2 linked regions of the Macaca mulatta genome follow. The protein of the gene in region 1 purifies or fractionates together with the protein of each later gene. This does not show direct contact. Links are inferred from orthologs where the notes say so. Each region holds a gene or a part of one and is shown in the gene's direction. Other genes may lie near its edges.

What was found. The genes of interacting proteins can lie anywhere in the genome.
Region 2: the proteins of SEC31A (region 1) and SCYL1 purify together in Homo sapiens (affinity purification with mass spectrometry; 3 studies listed by BioGRID and IntAct, counting the BioPlex papers as one, with this or other methods). This does not show direct contact. The link is inferred for Macaca mulatta from reciprocal best matches to the Homo sapiens genes SEC31A and SCYL1.

Annotation. Positions count from the first base shown.
Region 1 is NC_133410.1:50,932,630-50,936,280, forward strand, and holds part of SEC31A (protein transport protein Sec31A), read left to right. Parts: intron 1-1,805; coding exon 1,806-1,976; intron 1,977-3,651. UniProt on the Homo sapiens protein: Component of the coat protein complex II (COPII) which promotes the formation of transport vesicles from the endoplasmic reticulum (ER).
Region 2 is NC_133419.1:8,864,004-8,867,654, reverse strand, and holds part of SCYL1 (N-terminal kinase-like protein), read left to right. Parts: intron 1-2,925; coding exon 2,926-3,084; intron 3,085-3,651. UniProt on the Homo sapiens protein: Regulates COPI-mediated retrograde protein traffic at the interface between the Golgi apparatus and the endoplasmic reticulum. Involved in the maintenance of the Golgi apparatus morphology.

The DNA of each region.
Region 1 (3,651 bases):
GATATAAGTACTGTAATAAGGGTATTGATGCTGTGGAACACAATAAAGGGGAACCCAAACCCAGTCGTGGAACATAGGTAGAAGTACGGGTGAGGTTTGAGGAAACTTTTCCACAAGAATATATCTGCATTTTGTGTCTGATGGAGCTTGATTTTGAGCCTTGCAGATACTGTCTTGTCTCTATACTTTTTTATTAATCACTTTATTCTGTTTTTTATGTTTTTGGTTTTGTTTTTTTTTTTTTAGTCAATTGTTTTTAGTATTTTGTCTGTTTTAGGGAAGTATTGATAAATTTCATTGGGTAAAAGTACATAATATTCTCCAGGACTATGGAGGTATGACTCTCTAGTTGGTTTTGTAAACACTAACTATAAGATCCGTCTCATTCGTTTCTGAATTGTTGATGGGAATGTTAGGTAGAATAGATGATACATAATCTTTTCCTTTAGGGTGACTTTGGCATACTAATTTTGTTAAGACTTTTTACTTAGTAAGTAAAAAGTTGTAAGTAAATAGTTATATTGAGATACATTATAAGAATTTTTATCTTAAGACTAATTTACCTTAAGACCCCTAGCTCATCTAGCTTAAGATTAATTCATTTTCAGTACCATTTATAAGCACATCCATTTTCTATACATTATTCTTCATGCTCTTTTTTTTGGACTTTAAAGAACATTCTTTAGGCCAAAAAGCATAATTTTGATGTTATTTCCTATTTATCTCAGTAGACCCTGCCTTTTTTGTTGGGGGAAGTATGTCCTGAAACTTTGTGATGGCATTGTAATATATAATTCTCCCCTGTAAAAGGCAAATAAAATATGCCTAAAACACTTAAATGATCCCTTTAAACCTTTAACAAATGTATAGGAATGTATAATTTTTAAAGATACTAAAATCTTGCTGAAACATTTTAACACATTGCCTTTTTGTTATTTGTTAATACTTAGAGCATATATATGATCACCTCATACTTTTGTAAGTCTCTATGCATGTAGATCTATATGAGCTACAGATCTGAATTTCACATCTTACTCTTTATTTCAAAAATCTCTTTTAACATTTTCATCTCTTTCTTAAATCACCATTTTCTTCAATAACCATCTTTAGTAGTTGATTCTCTTTGGTGGCCTCTTTTAGTTATAGTTGTTTTTTATTTTTTGAGACGGAATCTTACTCTGTCACCCAGACTGGAGCAGTGGCGCGTTCTTGGCTCACTGCAAGCTCCGCCTCCCGGGTTCACTCCATTCTCTTGCCTCCATTCTCAGCCTTCCCAGTAGCTGGGACTACAGGCGCCCGCCACCACACACAGCTAATTTTTTGTATTTTTAGTAGAGACGGGGTTTCACCGTGTTAGCCAGGATGGTCTTGATCTCCTGACCTCATTATCTTCCTACCTCGGCCTCCCAAAGTGCTGGGATTACAGGCGTGAGTCACCGCCTCTGGCCTTAGTTATAGTTTTTAAAGTAGTTTTGTGATTTATGAGCATTAGGTAACCACAAAAAAACATCAAAAGAGTACTAGTGATAAGTGATACTGGTCTTGCATAGTAACCATGAGGTAGGTATAATTCAAATCTCTGCCTCCGTTAAATTACAAGTTGCACTGTATGTCATGGACCTTTGGTGCCAGTCTTGAGTAGTAGAAAGCACAATGTCAAATCTGTGTGTCAGAGTCTATTGTATAATACCCAGCATTATGAACAAAAAGGGTTATCTTGATGAATAATCTGATTAAGAAGATTAACGTGCTGTCATATATCTGGGTGAACTCTAACAGTCTGCTGTTTTTCCATTCCTTTTTAGCCAAATATCGTGCAGCTTCGTGACAGACTTTGTAGAGCACAAGGAGAGCCTGTAGCAGGACATGAATCACCTAAAATTCCATATGAGAAACAGCAGCTGCCCAAGGGCAGGCCTGGACCAGTTGGCCACCACGAGATGCCGAGAGTTCAAACTCAACAATATTATCCCCATGTGAGTGATATCATCCAGATGAAGTAGGAACACTTTTGTATTTCTCTTCAAATTGGTGGTTTTCATTTGTTCAGCAGGAGACCTTCTCTGATATGGTAAAACTAGACAATATATTGTTATAATAGATCTGTTTTCTAGATTCTTAAAGTTGTATTTATGATCTACTTTTTGAAATCATCTCTCTCATTTGGTCAAAGAGATTGTATTTTAGATATAAATTGGTTTTAAGCTCTCTAGGGAGATTTGTTCTATTTCTCTGTCACTCAAAGTTTACTTACACATGTGTATCTGTTACTGAAACTTCTATTTGAGTCATCTAACAAGCTGTAAAGTAACAGGAACAATCTTGGTGATATGGTTGTTTTATAAAGTATTTTTAGGAGATAGTATTTTTTGAGTATTTTTAATCATTAGTATAGGTTTAGGCTTAGTGTATTCTGTATTTGCACAATAAAGTATATCCAGAATACAGATTTTTTTTTTTTTTTTGGACAATTTAGATGTTAGAGAAAAACGAATGATCAAAAGTATGTGAAGTTTTAGATTATGTGGAATGTGAAAAGAACTAATAATTTTATTTAAATTACCAAATGTTTGGTGTCATAAAATGTGGCTTCTTAGTATCTTTTACTATTTCACGTGGAAACTTCCATATTTCCAGACCAGCAGATAACCTTCGTATACTTAAATGAAGAATATTTTTTCCATAGGTAATAAATGGTCTTGATTGATAGCAAAGTTAACAGGTACTCTGCCTGTTTTAAAACAGAACAAATTGCTGATAGGATTGATGGAGTCTTTTTACGTTTTGTTATAGCAAAAGTAAACATAAAATCTTGAAAAACAAAAAAATTAATGTCCTTTTGTCTGTTATGTTTTTGATTGGTGCTTAATCAGCAGAGATTACATTTGAATATAACTGTTAACTATCTAGAATACTCTCTATTTTGACTTTTTTCATTAATTTGACAAATATTTTTTTGAGACCCTGCCATGAGTGCCTGGCATTGCTCTAGCTGCTATGGGAGTATATTTATGAACAAAATAGACTGAATTCCCCCGCTCATGGAGATTGCACTAGACTTAGAAAGTCTATGACATAGGTAGGGCAGAACAGATGATGGCTGGGAAAACTGAGAAGCAGAGATGTCAAGCAGCCCACCAGAATTGAAGACACAGAGCTTGAATTTCTTAGCATTGCATGGCTGGTTACCGGCCAAGTTGGGATTAGAACTCCCAAGCATCTTGTTAAACCAAACTACCTGTCATGGTACTGAAGCAAGGCAAGCTCTACATTAGGAAAAGAGAATATTTGCTCTTTATGTCCTTAGCTTTATCTTTCTGGAAAAAGATAAAAACATTGAAAGATTTGTTATACTTTGATTTACCAATGTTATAGGAAAAGACAAAGTGAATCATAAAGCAGTGATTTTCTTGATTAAAGCTTATGATATACTGAATGAATGAGGACAGTAGCTTGTGGTTTTAATGCAGTGTTAACAGGCAGGGTCAAAGGGAGGAGAGGGAGGCCAGATCAGTAGGAGTTCCACTTCCACTTTGAGCAGCACAGCTTAACCTTTACAGTTGACCCTTGAACCATGTGGGTTAGGGGTACCGACCCTGCGTGCGGTTGAAAATCCATGACTTCACTCCCCAGAACTTAACCCCTAAAATT
Region 2 (3,651 bases), on another chromosome or scaffold:
AGCCGAGATAGCGCCACTGCACTCCAGCCTGGGCGACAGTGTGAGACTCTGTCTCAAAAAAAAAAATGTATATGTATATATAGAATTGGTATAATGCACATATTCCAAAATCCGAAAACATCTGAAATCTGAAACACTTCTGGTCCCAAATATTTTGGACAAGGGAGACTCAACCTGTACCTACTTCAGAGGGGCCCAATGAGGAGTCAGAATTGAAAGTGCATGGTGTAGTGTTCTGCGCCCAGCAGGCATTTAGGGCCGGCTCTGGTTACTCCAGTCACTCCACATGCACATTCTGGCTCTGGTCCTCAGGGGTATAACACCCTGTGCTGGCTGCAGGGGGGTGGGCAGCTCCAGCTCAGTGTGGAGGAAGGTGAGGCAGACCTAGATCCCTGCCCTCAAGGATCTAGCAACAAGTAAACAGACCAGATCCCCACTCTTGGGAACTCTTGCTGGGGGAGAGACAGAAAACATTAAAAACCATAAATAAGAGCAGGGCTCGGTGGCTCAGGCCTGTAATCCCAGCACTTTGGGAGGTTGAGGCAGGTGGATTACCTGAGGTCAGGAGTTTGATACCAGCTGACCAACATGGAGAAACCCCATCTCTACTAAAAGTACAAAAATTAGCTGGGCATGGTGGCGCATACCTGTAATCCCAGCTACTCAGGAAGGCTGGGGCAGGAAAATCGCTTGAACCTGGGAGGTGGAGGTTGCAGTGAGCCAAGATCATGCCATTGTATTCCAGCCTGGGCAACAAGAGCGAATCTCTGTCTCAAAAAAAAAAAAAAAAACCACCATAAATAAGAAAACCAACCAGTGTGGTGGCTCACACCTGTAATCCCAGCACTTTGGGAGGTCGGGGCAGGCAGATTATTTGAGGTCAGGGGTTCGAGACCAGCCTGACCAACATGGAGAAACCCCGTCTCTACTAAAAATACAGAAAATTAGCCGGGTGTGGTAGCGCATACCTATAATCCCAGCTACTCGGGAGGCTGAGGCGGGAGAATCACTTGAACCTGTGAGGCAGGAGGTTGCGGTGAGCTGAGACTGTGCCATTGCGCTCCAGCCTGGGCAACAAGAGCAAAACTCAGTCTCAAAAAAAAAAAAAAAAGAAAAAACCAGTGCAGGAAAGAAAGTACTGGAGTGGGTGTTCAGGGATGGGCTCTCTGAAGTGACATTTGAGCTGAGGCCTGAAGATCATGATGGTGGGAGCCAGAGGGATGGTACCTGGAGGAGGAGTTCCAGGCAGAGGCGACAGCACACGGAGAGATGCTGAGGAGGGAGCCCTCTGCTTTGCCTCTGAACCTTGGTTTCCGCATGTATATAGTGAGGAGCATCCAGGTGCACTGGCCCGCAGGGTTGCTGTAGGGAGGAGGGAGGGAGGCTCTGCTCCATGCAATGCCTGGACCCAGCCGTGTGTGAGGAAAACAGCGGGAGTTGAGAATCAGAATCAGGAGCAAGGGAGGAGAGTGGCAGGCACTCCACAGACCCTGACCCAGCAGATGCCATGGAATCTTGACTCAGATGCTGCGGGGCGGGGAGGGCCTTTGGAGGGTGGGAACCTGGAAGGAGAAGCTGCTGGAAATGCTGAGGCCCTGTTGCCTCCTGGGCAGTGTCGGGGCAGCAGGAACTTTGTTATGTGGAGTTCTCCTTATACGGCTGGCTCTGCCAAGCTGCCCTTCTCCCTGAAATGTGCCTCATAGGAAATGGGGTTTCGGGAGCTTCCCGGAGAACATGAGAGGGCAGTGCCCAGGGGCCCCTCTTCCCATTGCTGGGTGGCGTGGTGGAGAGAACCCAGCTGTGACTCTCGATGTATGACCTTGGATGTGATTTAGCCTCTCTGGGCCTTGGCCCCGCTGAATCATGTGATCAGAGCACCAAGCCTGCCTCCCACGCTGGTCTGAGCTGCTTGAGGGCCATCTAGGTCCTCCTTGTCCCAAGCCAGAGGTCGCCTCTCCCAGGCTAAGCCGTGGCTGTGGGGATGGCAGTACAGCACCCGGACTTTGGAACACAATACTGGCCACTCTTGGCTGCTGATCTTGACCCTCTATCTCCCCCTTTGTGAATGGGGGGAGTGACAGCATCTTTTGAAGTGTACAGCACAGGAGAGGCACCAGACCACTGAGTCAGACCCTCCTCTGACTGCTTCTTAGCTGTGTGACTTTGGACAAGCTCCTTGCCCTCTCTGTGCCTCAGCTTCCTTGTTGGTAAAATGTGGATTACATTAGCACCTACCTCGTAAAGTCGTGAAGAGGACTGAGATAATCTGTGTAAAGGTTTTAGCACATAATCTGTGCTCAGGAAATATGAGTTGGGGTATCATGGCCTCAAAGGGGGGTTAGGAGGACTAAAAGTAGACCATTGAGCTGACAGCCTGGTCCATTTTAGCTCAGTGGGAGGATGAGGTCTGGGGGTAAAGTGTACCTAGTCCCTGCCTTCCTATGGCCTACCAGGAACTTCATGCCCAACCCAGCCAGGGCAGGGGAACCAAGTAAACCCCTTCACCTCTTTGATCTTCAGTTTCCTCCTCTGTGCTCACATCCTAGGTAGGGAGCAGTAGAGGCAACATTGATAAAGGGCCTGATGCCCCTAGTGATGCCTCTGATGCCCCTAGTGGCTGCTCTCCCAGCAACAGGTCAGGTGGCCACAATGACAGCAATAGTCCCTAACGGACTGAGCATCTGCTGTGTGCCAGGACTATGCTACAGCTTTTATGTGCATTTTCTGGTTGAATTCTCAGAACAATCCCGTAGATAGTAGAGCTGTTATCCCATTTTATGCAGCACTTAAGCGGTACAGTTGGGCTTTGAACCCAGGCAGCCAGGCTCTGGAGCCCATAAGCGTCAGTTCTTGTCCTCACCCATGGCTGGGTTTGGGCTACAGCCAGGCTGATCTCTTCCCTGGGTCCCCTCCTCACTCCCCCAGATCAAAGAGCCAGCCGAGAAGCAAAAGTTCTTCCAGGAGCTGAGCAAGAGCCTGGATGCGTTCCCTGAGGATTTCTGTCGGCACAAGGTGCTGCCCCAGCTGCTGACCGCCTTCGAGTTCGGCAATGCTGGGGCCGTTGTCCTCACGCCCCTCTTCAAGGTGAGTGGAGCTGTGGGACCCAGAAGGCTGGCTAGGTGCACAGGAACTGCCAAAGAGAAGGCCCTGGGGTAGGGCAGCCTAGTTAGGGCAGACCCAAGCCCATATGTGCAGGAGCTTCCTGCCAGCGTCTATAAACAGGCACCTGACCAGCTGTCCCCTGGGGAGGAGAGACTCTGCCCCTAAAATCCTTTTCCCACAAACTTCTGGTTTCACAACCCTCAGCCCTTCCTCCATTTCCCTGGGTCTGACCTGTGCACCCTGGTTCCCAGGGCCCAGGGGATTACCTACTCACCACCCCACTTTGCCATCTCCCTCCTGACTGCTTAGCACTCAGCTCACCTGACTTCTGGGGGCTGGATCTTCCACCCCTTCCTCAGACCCCAGCCCACCTTTTTATGGGCGCCGGCCAGTCCCTGCCCTCCTCACCTTGGGGAGAACCCTTTCACCTGAAAGTCTTGCTAGGAGGGGAGAAGACAACAAGCAAGTCCTGTATAGCTAAGAACCCCCAGAAATTGCAGGCAGAATTTCTGCATATGGCATAAAGGTACCTCCTTGTAGGGGGTGGCC